Linked DNA regions of Schizosaccharomyces pombe. The protein of the gene in region 1 purifies or fractionates together with the protein of each later gene. This does not show direct contact. Each region holds a gene or a part of one and is shown in the gene's direction. Other genes may lie near its edges.

Region 1 (3,208 bases):
GCATCAACTGTGGTTTGTTGGAAGTCCAAAGGAAAAGAGGCATTTGAAACAGACTTTGTAGATAAATCACTACATTCGTAACCAATGATACCCATAATTCCGCCGTAAAATGGCAAATTGGTATCTGGCTTAATTGCTTTATGTTGATTCATGAAATCAGCCACTGTGGACCACAAATCGTTGTTTATACGGACAAAGCTATTATCCTTGCAAATTCTAATCTCAGTAGTATTCGTTGCTTTCTCGTAATGTATAATTCGTGCCAAAGGACCTGTTAAAATTCCAAGTATAGAATATCTCCCAGGTTTTTTCGCTGAATCTAAAAAGCAAATTGGATTCCCGCTTTTTTGAATACAATCAGCTAACGCTAGTGGTTCAACCCAAGGGATTTCAACACTGTGAATTTGAAGAGAGGGAGAACCACTTTTAAGAATGAATGCAGCCGGAGAAATATCATACCGATTAAGATTATGCGAGAAACCATTTGCTGATTTTGAAAAGGAATTGACACATTGTATATTAGGAGTATCTGCTAGAGAAAGGAAATTTTTGAAAATTTTCAAAGATTTTGATGACCCAACGCTTTCAGGATGATAAAGTATTCCAAAATGTGGAAACTTTGTAGCCTTAATAGACATAACTATGTTATCTTCATCCGATTGAGCTAATATTTGTAAAGAATCGATGGGAATTTTGTTCGCGTACAAACTGTGGTAACGCATTCCTTTAACCGCTGAAATTCCATCAAAAATGAAAGTTTTTGAAGTAGTTACAGATGACACACGGCCATGCCAAGGAAGATTAGGCATTCTTTCTATAGTGGCACCGTGGTATAAAGCTAATGACTGAAACCCCAAACAAATGCCCATTACTGGGATATTTAATTGCCAAATACGATTCAAAATAGAAGAATATTCGGCAGGATGTCCAGGGCCCGGTCCTACGACAATGGCATCAAATTGAAGTATGTCTTCCCATAAATCAGGACTCATTTTATCCCAATGAACAACAATAACACAGGCATTTTCACTTGCTTTGTAAAGTAAGTCATAAAGGTTAAAAGTGTATGAGTCATAGCAATCAATTAATAAAATTTGTAAACGGTTTGAAATTTCACTCATGATAGATACTAATCAGCTAAAACGACCTTAGATTTACTCAAGAAACATTAATTTTTTAACGATATGATTGAAAAGAGAACTCTGGTATTAAGAGGTTTTAACTTTTACAAAGTAGCAGGAGTAGGAAGTGCGCAAATTAAATTCCAGTTTCCAATTTGTTTAGAAGCTTCTGACATTCTTCGGGATTTTACAAATCATACAATTCCATTTAAGGTAGGAAAAGTGTAGGCTATCTAAAGTTTTATTATTCCGTTTATTTTCAAAGAATAATTCGCAATCAAAAACTTGAAGGCGAGAATAATAGAATGGGAAGCAGTATTTATTTTGAAAACAACCCTTTGAATATGTGCAATTTTCATTGTCAATAGAACATGAAGCAATCAACAAATATATGTATTCTTTTTTGCTTTAATATCATTGATTCACCTATTAATCGAACCGAACGGTAGTAAATTTTATATTAATGCATTTACAGCCTGATCAGCGTAAAGATCTCAATGACAATTGATAGGACGGCTTGTATTACTGTTTTTTTTTTCTAAATCCTGATTAAGCCTGTATGTTTCTTCTATTTGGTTGTCAAGGCTATCACATTTTGTTCATTAAAGGTATTGTCTACTTAATGCTTCTAACGTCAGCAGCTAATTAAAATTATTTCAGTACATATATTCATTTATAAGAGTATTGTTACCATATTAATAATAATAAAAAAATATGGATTTTAAGAGTCGAAAATATAAAATTAAAAAGCATCCGAAGGATTGCAAACTACATGCTAAAAAATACCGGGGTACATTGAATTCAAAAGGGAAAAATGATAATGATTGTTTAATTATGTGTATGAGATGCAGAAAGGTTAAAGGGATAGACTCTTACAGCAAAACTCAATGGAGCAAAACGTTTACATTTGTTCGTGGGAGAACGGTTAGCGTTTCAGACCCAAAAGTGATATGTCGTACCTGCCAGCCCAAACAGCATGATTCAATTTGGTGTACCGCTTGTCAACAAACTAAGGGCATTAATGAATTCTCTAAGGCACAAAGACATGTCCTGGATCCACGATGTCAGATATGTGTACATTCACAAAGGAACGACGGTGATGATAATTTGGAATCTGATAAGTTCGTTGATCCTTTCATAGGTGATGATTCTGACTTAGACGATGATATCTACATTCATGATAAACAAACCATAAACTCAGAATACGCTGACGATGTTTCTGATAATACTGACGAAGAGCGAACTGAAAGCAAGGGGCAACAGGAAAGCAATTCAGCTGAAGAATATGATGATGATGACTCTGATGAAGACAGGATGGAAGAGATATTTCAGCAATTCAAAAAAGAAAAACAAATTGTATAGAGACACGTTTTATATTCATCCTTATTTGAATTATGTAAAGATTTGCTTACGATCCCATTTTATATGATAAATTATAAAGGTCCATTAGTGCTAATGTAGACCTTAAAATATGTTGAATTTAATTTAGATCTTAAATAAATAGATATATGTATATAGTAGTAAAAGGTAAGGAATTGCGAACCCTGATGTAAACACTAGCGTATATTGAACCCATTAGTTTCAAGCAACGCCGTGTCTAATTTTTTTTTTAACTTTTCCCTACTGGAGTATTCCCAAATACATAAGTGATTGAAGCAAGTATGAGAGATAGGAAGTTGATCACTGTCAGGTCCGAGAACTGAGATTCTTAATTGAAAATTATGTGCCCCAGTAGCGGGAATGCGATCGCTTCCTGTGACGAAAATGAGAAAAAGTTTTTGCATTTTTAGCGAATAGTGTGATATCAAATCCCAAAACCAAAGTATTATTTTTCTTTTTGATACGAAAGAGTGGCAGAGATATTTAGATGCAGTCATACTTGGTTCACTTTCAGATATAGAATTTGAAATCGCATTTTGGTCATAAAAATCATAAACGCAGACATTTTTGAGTAGCTCCCAGTCAATAACTTCTTCACTTCCTCTGATCAACTTGCTGATTTCATTGTCTTGAAACAACGATATGGCGTTACCTCCACATACTTTCATAAAGCCATCGAAAAAAGCAGAAAATTGTTTTTTTACAGT
Region 2 (4,056 bases), on another chromosome or scaffold:
AATTGCCCAGCGTCTCTTCCCCCCTACTTCGCTTATTGCTCTTTTAGAGCTGCCTCCTGTAATTCACCCTTTGAGTTGTGTTCCTGTTGAATTTCAGCTGACCGGTGTAAAACCTGAAAACTCCAAGGTTGGTTGGCGCTTAACGAAGATTTCGTGGAGAATAGAAGAACAGATAAAAGCTCAAATAAATGGTTGCTCGACCCATACTGGGACAAAAAAGCCATACATTTTCAAGGAGACTCGGCTGTTGGGAAATAATGAACATAAGTCTGGTTGGAAAGAAGATGGCGATAGAATTATCTTCGAGATCCCTATCAGTACATCTTTACTTTCAAAGCCTATTTGTGATGTTTCCTTTGATGGACAATTCTCTCTATATATTGCCCATCAACTAATTCTTGAGACTATAGTCGTCGAAGTGATGAACTCGCATCCCATAAACTCGAATGCCCGAATTTTAAGGATGAAGGTCAATTTACCTTTGACTGAACGAGGTGGTCTTGGTGTTAGTTGGGATGAGGAATGCCCCCCAATGTTCAATAGTGTTGGACCCAGTCCTCCTGCATATGAGCAAGTTGCTAGATCCTCTCCCACTGATATTCCACTACCTCCACCTTCATGTCCTACAAATGTTCAAAGAGATTGATTCGAATTTTAGTTTCTTCCGTCAATTTTGTTTTTTTATCTTTCTGTTTTAATTGGGCTTGTTTTTTCATTTCAAAGATTTGTGTATCTTTATATGACTTGAACGGTAATTTTTTGACCTTTACTAAGCTTGGATGATACAACAGGATTTCCATTAAAGGTTGCTTAACGTTTGTTCAAATTCCGCTTTTTTATTTCTCTTTCCTGTAGATTAATCTAATTCTAAACCGTCAATTAAAATACTCACAGAATATCTAAGTAGACAAAGTAATGTTTCTCGTAAGATGATTTTGCTTAATTTTTCTTATTCCTTTTCGATTGACTTAGGACAAATTTGGCATAAATGTCTGCTTGCCTGATCGGTTCCGGTACCCTGCTATGAGAGCTACTGCATTTCTGTACGAGTTGGATAGACTGTTCTAAATTCATTTGGTTACCGATGCTAACATAAACTGGGCGTTTCGAGTTACTGCTTGTCCATACTGCAGCGCCCAGAATCTCAGAAGATTGATCAATCGAGTGAATCAATATTGGATGATCAGTTGTTTTCTTTAGCACGTGTTTCTTTAAAGTTTCACGATGTGCATCTAAGCTTTCAGTCAAACCCACGCAATGTAAGTAATTTTTCGCGACGCCAACAACGGGAAGATTCAACAACACACCTAAATGGCAAGCCAATCCAAATCCTAAGTTGAGTTAGATATAATTAATAATATCCTTCATTGAGAGTGTCTCCTTGAAGTAAATAGATTGTTTACAGAATCTTACTTACCGACAGGATGCAATACGCCATTTCCATCTACTAAAATGATATCAATTCGAAATTGATGAGGAATGTGATTTAGCAATGGCAAATACCATTTAATTTCTCGAAATGAAAGAAACCCGGGAACATAGTCCTCTTCTAATTTCTCAATGCACAAATAATCTTTATAAATAATCATACGTTGTTCTAAATCATAAATAACAAGGGCTGAGACAGCCTTTGGACTTGATTTATCAAAAGAGATATCCAATCCTACAACATATCTTATTTCATTCAAACTTTGAAATTTGGGAATTAGCTGCAACATCCCTTTAAGTTCAATTTGCTGTTGGCGCCATATCGTTAACTTATCATGCAAATTGTCATTATTCATAATATACAATTGATCTTAAAATCATTTAGGTGTTTTTTAATTTAAAATAAACCGGTCTTTTCTGGGGCTTGAGTTGAGTACGAAAACCACGAAGTGAAAAGGTAGAAGTTCCCACATATGAGATTTAGACGCGAAATGTCAATTAATGTAATGAGATATCTAAAATATAAATTACTGTAAAAGAATTAAATTGACAAAGCGTAAACGAATACGCTATCATTTTTGGGATCTCATCGGTGTGTATAAAAAAGAAGTAGTGACTTCACTCACTTCCTCTTAACCCATATCATAGGAGTTGATAATTGGATCACGTTGACAGGTTTTGATTTCTCTAGGCGACATTTACTATTGTAATTAGTTTTACTCTCATATAAATAGTTTTGGAGTAATACCTGTGAAAATTGATATTCAGATTATTTTAAATTCTAAGTATACTTCTGCTTGAGCTCACGGAACAAAATGTCATCCAGAGAGGAAGTAGTTAATTTTGCTGCCGGTCCTGCCGCTATGATTACCTCTGTAGTTGAGGAATTTGGAAAGGACTTTGTCAATTTCCAGGGCCTTGGCATGGGTGTCGCTGAAATTTCCCATCGCAGCAAGCAAGGTTCCGGGATCGTTACTTCTGCTGAATCCAATTTTCGTAAACTTTACAATATCCCCGAAAACTTTCATATTTTATTTATGCAAGGCGGTGGTACAGAACAATTTGCCGCTTGTCTTTATAATGTTTATGCACACCATGCCCTCAAGAATGGCAATGCTAAATCTCTTGTTGCAAACTATATTATTACCGGAGCCTGGAGTAAAAAAGCATATGCTGAAGCTGAACGCTTAGGCTTCCCATGCCACGTTGCAGTCGATATGAAAGAATTGGCCGGGAAATATGGATCTTTACCAGAGGACAAAGATCTCAAATTTACACCTGATGGCGAAACTTCCTTGGTTTATTATTGTGACAATGAAACTGTTCATGGAGTCGAATTTAATGAACCACCTACAAACATCCCAAAAGGTGCTATTCGCGTTTGCGATGTTTCGTCTAATTTCATTTCAAGAAAAATCGATTTCACCAAGCATGACATAATTTTTGCTGGTGCACAAAAGAATGCTGGTCCTGCAGGAATAACTGTTGTATTCGTCAGAGACTCAGTTCTTGCGCGTCCTACCCCCGCCGAACTTCATAAGCTCAATATCCCTGTCTCCCCTACTGTTTCGGATTATAAGATTATGGCTGATAATCATAGCCTTTACAATACGCTTCCGGTAGCCACGCTCCATGCAATTAACCTTGGCTTGGAATATATGCTTGAGCATGGTGGTCTTGTTGCTCTCGAAGCATCATCAATCGAAAAGTCAAAGTTATTGTACGACACTTTGGATAAGCATGATCTTTATATATCTGTGGTTGAACCTGCCGCTCGTAGTCGCATGAATGTCACATTCCGAATTGAACCTCAGGAGCTTGAGTCTGAATTTTTAGCAGAAGCCGAAAAACATCATCTTGTGCAATTGAAAGGTTATCGCAGTGTAGGGGGAATTCGTGCTTCTCTGTACAATGCGATTTCCGTAGAGCAGACCCGTAGGCTTATTGATCTTTTAGAGTCCTTTGCTAAAGCACACTCTAACTAACCTTTTTTGATTCTGTCTTAAGTTTTTGATTTAGATATAAAACACAATAGATGTGGGAGCTGTTGGTCCTAAGTATCATATTTATGAGGATAGAAATGTATTAACGTAAAATCTGTATTAACGAAAGTCAGTTTCAAAATCACCGCTTAAAAGCTTCATTAACGTATTCAGTAATCAAAGCTGCAGCTTGAAAAGTAAATTTGGTGATTTGAGGATATTTACGAGTTTTAAGACATTCTGGGCTTCATGTAAGTTTCAACAACAATATCAGCTTCTAAGACAGATTATATGTACGCAGAATACCTAACCAACAATTATTACAAGAACAAATTTTATTCATAAGAAGTTGATTGAAATTATTTTTTGGAAGTCGTAACATTATCGGATTGTCCCACCTGATACCATTTCAAACTAAATATAAAACTTTTCAAGAGACGAATAATGGGGAAAACTCTTATATTTATTAAGCTAAGCAGCTTAAATGAGTGTATTAAATATTCTACGATAATATCGAAAATTGCGAGAGAGCTTAGCATTCATAAAGGCAATGAATTATATATCTGGGTAAGTTGCTCTGAAATGTGTCAGAAAAGAACGAAGCATTTGTTTCGTGAGTTGCAAAATGCGCTTTGTGAATTATATC
Region 3 (5,577 bases), on another chromosome or scaffold:
ATTGAGTAAGACCTTTGGTTATGTAAGGAGCATCTGAAGGTGATAATTCAATTGCTTTTGACTCTGTAATAGGTGGTAAAGAGTCGACATCTAATTTACCAAAAATATGAGAAAGCGTTATTGTGTATGGTGGTACTGCACCCATGCGAATCTGCCACTTGGCGTATTCGCTTGATAAATCAAACAAGCGAGGATGGCGCATGTAGGAAGGTAGCGTAATTCCCTGATCCCGTGCTTCTTTTGGCAATAATACACGAAGCTCTCTTCCATTCATAACAACAAATGTAAAAGGTTTTCCTTGGAAGTTTAATCGTTCTTGGATTGAATTATCCAATGTGAAGATAGCTTCAGTTAAGGAACTAGCAGAACCACAAATTCCATGACGAGAACTATCTTCACGAATACTACACGATTCACAGTGTTGTTTTTCCAAAGTTTTTCCATCTAATATAACCCAGCATATTTCATGAATTTCACATGGCGCCCGGCCAATGCTAATGCCGTGATCGTCAAGATTTGTTTCAAAGTGCAAAACAACCAAGTCGCCTACCGATTCTGGCAGAGGCATTGTTGGACTTGGTAGCTTTGACATGATATTGCAAAGCTACAAACCCGTTGGTGTTTTTCTTTGTCACTCACAAGTACAGTCACAAAAGTAACAAATCTAGATTTAGAATCCACCTAAGCGGAATTATTCAAAGGAGAAAAATCTTTTATGAACAATAATATGTACAACTGATGTTACTGTCGAATCGTGTATTGTTGTGGGATTCTTTTGCATGCAAAGCAGAAAATTTAGCAATACTTTCGAAACACAATGAAAATGAAAATTTTACGATAAATTATTATACCATAATTTAGCGCATCAAGCATTTGGTATTCTTATGTCAGCAATACTACACTACGTTGAGTATCACTATATGTCACATGTTCTAATTATATATCGTACCATGTATAATACGATATGGAGATTGATCTTAATGATAATCTATTAAGATCAATATTATCTGAATACTATAAATAGAGCTACTGCTGAACCTCGTTCCTCAGTTCAGTTATGAGCTATATTAGTGATAGTTAACATTATAACCCAGTTAATACAATACCTATACTCAGTTGCTACTTATACAACCTGTGTATTGTAATATAATAGATCACAAGGAAAACTCACCGCAGTTCTACGTATCCTTAAATCAGATACCAAACTGCGTAGCTTACATCTTATGAACAATACCGGGGTTTTTTGTAACCACGTAAACAATCAAAGAACTGTTGTTTATTTTGACAATTGTATCAGGAAGTCAAGGGAAAAGTTATACTGAAAAGCCATCCATTGAAAAGTATTTGTACATCTTGCTACATAAAAAAGCTGATAGTAATTTACTTACACAACTGATAATTTACTAAATTACCGTCATTTCAATTAGAGTTGGTGTAATGTAGCAAAACATAAATTTATCAGCAATAACTCTACAATCGATAAAATGCGACCAAGTTATAGCTTAAAATTGATACAACGAATTTTATACGGACAAATAAAGGGTTAAAATTTACGTTAAGGATTTATTAAATGCCTTCCGTACAACCTAAATGAAGACTAAGAGTAATATAACGCAACGTTAATCAGCTTAGCGATTCTAAATGTGCTCTTTATTATTTGATGTGAACTGCAATAGTAAAAATCTTTGTCACCGTTAGCCTAATCGTAGATTGTATTAATCAAAGTAGCACAAAGCAAATTTTTCAAAACCTTTGAAAAATATTCAAATTCAGCTTTGTGTAGAATACACACTAGACTACAACGATGGCAGGAATAGAATCAAAGCAAAGAAGAGCTCAGAAAAAGGCAGCTAAAGCTGCTATGAAGGAAAAGAAAAACAAGGAAAGCAATGAATCTTCTACTTCTGTTGAGGCATTAAATGAGAAAGAAATGATCAATACCATTAAATCTCCTATTATTGAAACAGCTGATACAGCTGATCAAGAGAACGAATCTGAGGGATCAGATGAAGTTGAACTTTCTGATCTTGAAGGAATTGAGTTGGAAGAAGACGCTGATTTGATTAGAAAAAGAAAATTAGCTATAAATAACACTGTTGCACTAGAGAACATCTATGAACGAATTAAATATCCTGATGATATTTCGTTTGTTGAAAACCAAGCTGTTACTACTAAGGAGCCTATAATAATTGAAAATGTTGAGGATGATCTTGCCCGTGAACTGGCCTTTTATAAACAAGGTGTGAGCTCTGTAAAGGCGGCTTTTGCCAAACTTCGTGAGGCGAATGTTCTAATTTCCCGACCTCATGACTATTTTGCGGAAATGTTAAAGTCCGATGACCACATGGAGAAAGTGCGTCAAGAGTTGATTAAAGAAGCAACCGCTAAAAAACTATCCCAGCAAGCTAAGAAACAACGAGAACTCAAGAAGTTTGGTAAACAAGTTCAGCTTGCTAAACAAGAAGAGCGTCAACGGGAAAAAAAGGAAACCCTCGAAAAAATTAACCTTCTCAAACGAAAGCATACTGGAGGAGATCTTACCACTGAAGATGACTTTGATATTGCTCTTTCATCAGCCTCTGCCGATACATTTAAAAAAGGTAGCCGTAGTACGAAATCACGGCCACAGCCTAATCCGAAGCGACAAAAGAAAAATGAAAAGTATGGATTTGGTGGTCCAAAGCATCGCAGCAAAAGCAATGATCTCGACAGTCTTGCTGCTACCGAATTTGGGAGAAAAGGTCTTAAAAACATTAAATCTAAAAAACGTCCCGGTAAGGCGCGACGTGAAAAGGCTAGAAAATAATTGGGGTTTATAAGGGGTCTATAAATAACTATATCTTAGGTTTAATATCATTATTTCTTCTTTACAATAGGTATGTTTCGTACTTCAGTCGAGTTTGAAGGCGATATATTATAAGAAGAGCAACAAGAATTTTGCAAAAAAAATGAACAGTTATAAATATTAAATTATGTAATATACAATTAGAGCCGATCACACAATAAATTCTAAAAAAATATCAAATTCTTGCACCGTTTTACCCAAATCGGTTAAATTTGTTTTACTAAATTTCTAGATTACATTGAGGAACGGCTATGGAAATTAGATTCGAATGAAGAACTTGCAAGTTTCAATAAATTGCATAGTTCCACCCAGGTCTAAGCAGTTAGAAATAATAAATATCTCATGAATACTTACCGTTTCAAAAAAATTTGAATCCTTAAGATCCTCATATATGCTTTCAACAATATTTTTTCCTTGCTCGCTAGTGTTAGAAGCTTCACGAAATTTGAGTTCAACTTGTATATGTCGACTAACTTTATATTCCCAATGATATATGCTGTGTGCAATTCTAGCACGATTAAAGCAACTGTTTCCTAGCATCCACGCTTCTTTAGTGATCGGTTCAAAACTGTCTAGCTCCTTTAGAAAGTTAGTAGCCCGCTAGTGTTGAGAAAATCAATTCATACTTTATAGTTATGCTCATTATAAGGCATTCCTTTAAAATAAACAATTTGCGTTGACATTCTGGTGTGAATATTACATGCATCACAGCCATAAGTAGCATCGATCTTGGCACTTTTCATATTTGGTACAGTCTTGATTAGTTTAATGAACTCTGATTGCCAAATGCTTGAGATGATATTCGAATCAACTGATGAATATAACTGTTTACGAATAGTTCGACGGCTAAACAAATAATGATCAGATATATCAGAAGCGTCTATTGGATCAATAGCCTGCTGAACTATAAACATCATAAAGTTTCGAAAGTGTGCTTTTAAACCTTGATGACTTGTCATTGAAAACTCTGCAGGAAGTAAACTTCGAGCATTCATCATTACCTCTGTATCCTCATCATCCACTATAAAATCGTCTTCTTCTGATTCATTAGCCAATTCAGATTTGGTAATCAATGTATCAGATTTTTCGGAAGTCAGAGATTCAAGTTTGCTATAACTTCGATCTTAATTATTCGTTAATAAAAGAACAAAAAAATTACTTACTTCTTAAACTATGTAGTTTTTCATAAAATGCCTTCTTCGAAGGATTTCGAAATCTTGGCACTTTTTCTTCGAAACCTTCATCAATAGGGTCCAAATCTTGAACCTCTTGTTCTAATTCATTTAAATTCTCCATTTCTTCTGTTGATCTAATTATGGGCTTCAACAAATCTTCAGGAGATGAACTTTCATCATCTTCAGAAGATGAGCTCAAAACTTTCCTTTTTCGTTTTATTCGAGAAAACTGTCTTGCAACGTTTTTTGAACCAGAATCGCTCTGTCGCTCGGTATCAGAATCGGAATATAGTATATTAGAAGACAGCTTCGTCTTTCTCGTAATCGTAACATTTTCTTCTCTTGGAATTCCAGTGTCGGAATCCTCCGAATCAATGACAAATCCTTTTCGTTTCTTTCGACTTCCCATGTTTTCTCCCTTTATTTTATCACTAGTGGGTAATTCTTCCAAGTTGGATTCACCTAAACTATCGTTGCCATAAGTAGATGACAGTGACCCGGTGATATCTTCAAGACATACAGGCGAATCTTCATGTGAATTAATCGCAACCTCATTTTTTGAGTCGTGCTTGTCTAAACAAAGAAACGGAACGTTGACGGTTTCGTGAATATCGGAGAAAGTAATAAGCGGTTTGCTGATTTGGTTCTCATAATTAACGCTTGAAGAATCTTTATCTAACTTTAACTTTTCGGCATTGCTTTCTTCTTTCTTTGGAGTATTATTATCAATAATTACCACCGGAACTAGTCTGTTCGTGTTATCACTAGGCTCACTTGACGAAGATGCTTGAGTTTGAGTGGTTCTAAAATTATCTCGAGAAGAAAATTGGGATTCTTTTAATTTTTTGTTCCCTCTACTGCGTGAATTTGAATTCGATTTCATAGCTCCTTTGTTCTTTTTAAGCACAACATTGCTCTTTCGCTTTACAAACCTAGTTATCGGATACTTTTGAACATCATTTCTCTGTACATTGTCTTGATTTGATACCATAAATTAGGGGAATGTTTTAAGTTGACAGATTTGTCGACTAATAGTTTCAGTAGTTTGTTATACGTGAAAAACCAATATAGTATACCAAAAAGTAGAAAAAATAGTAAAAAAAGCTTTTACGTTTTTTGGATGAATTATATTCAATTTTAGTAACCTTCGATTGACTCAAATATAACTTAGTTGTGTTTCAGACAACACTACGAGGTGCATGCCTGATGTGTTGATCCTACCATCAGCCACTATACCATGGTTTACCTGCAAACTGTGAATGAGTTCTTCACACAGTCAAAATCATTAACGGAGGCTTATCCAAAAACGGTATGGTGTTGATGATATCTTTGATAATCAAACTCTGACTTTTTTCATTTAGACCAAACTTAGTATCAAATATCGCACGAATGAGCAGAGTCAAAATTATTTAATCGCGAAAGCCTTTGAAAGTGCTTCTGGAATATGTCTAAAATATAGGACTGACAAGGCGGCTGAACTTGGCAGATTACTTCTAATTGCAAACAAACTTAGTTATGTCTCCACAGGTAACGAAATTCCTCCTGAACCAGGTATGT

What was found.
Region 2: the proteins of stc1 (region 1) and ser1 purify together in Schizosaccharomyces pombe (affinity purification with mass spectrometry, with the first as the bait; one large-scale study listed by BioGRID). This does not show direct contact.
Region 3: the proteins of stc1 (region 1) and ebp2 purify together in Schizosaccharomyces pombe (affinity purification with mass spectrometry, with the first as the bait; one large-scale study listed by BioGRID). This does not show direct contact.

Annotation. Positions count from the first base shown.
Region 1 is NC_003423.3:3,690,476-3,693,683, reverse strand, and holds stc1 (CLRC complex-Argonaute linker protein Stc1), read left to right. Parts: upstream 1-1,768; 5' UTR 1,769-1,835; coding exon 1,836-2,483; 3' UTR 2,484-2,676; downstream 2,677-3,208. Other genes in the region: abz1 (para-aminobenzoate synthase), read right to left, coding at 1-1,121; mug30 (ubiquitin-protein ligase E3), read right to left, coding at 2,678-3,208.
Region 2 is NC_003424.3:3,813,610-3,817,665, forward strand, and holds ser1 (phosphoserine aminotransferase), read left to right. Parts: upstream 1-2,062; 5' UTR 2,063-2,243; coding exon 2,244-3,413; 3' UTR 3,414-3,556; downstream 3,557-4,056. Other genes in the region: arrestin-related substrate adaptor Any2, read left to right, coding at 1-646; SPOM_SPAC1F12.06C (DNA repair endonuclease), read right to left, coding at 940-1,331, 1,418-1,784; cab4 (cytidylyltransferase), read left to right, coding at 3,855-4,056.
Region 3 is NC_003424.3:2,011,128-2,016,704, forward strand, and holds ebp2 (rRNA processing protein Ebp2), read left to right. Parts: upstream 1-1,687; 5' UTR 1,688-1,804; coding exon 1,805-2,806; 3' UTR 2,807-3,078; coding exon of another isoform or gene 3,079-3,159; 3' UTR 3,160-3,199; coding exon of another isoform or gene 3,200-3,424; 3' UTR 3,425-3,471; coding exon of another isoform or gene 3,472-3,968; 3' UTR 3,969-4,008; coding exon of another isoform or gene 4,009-5,011; 3' UTR 5,012-5,077; downstream 5,078-5,577. Other genes in the region: RNA-binding protein involved in heterochromatin assembly Dri1, read right to left, coding at 1-568; SPOM_SPAC17H9.06C (uncharacterized protein), read right to left, coding at 3,079-3,159, 3,200-3,424, 3,472-3,968, 4,009-5,011; signal recognition particle subunit Srp21, read left to right, coding at 5,258-5,329, 5,382-5,571. UniProt on the Schizosaccharomyces pombe protein: Required for the processing of the 27S pre-rRNA.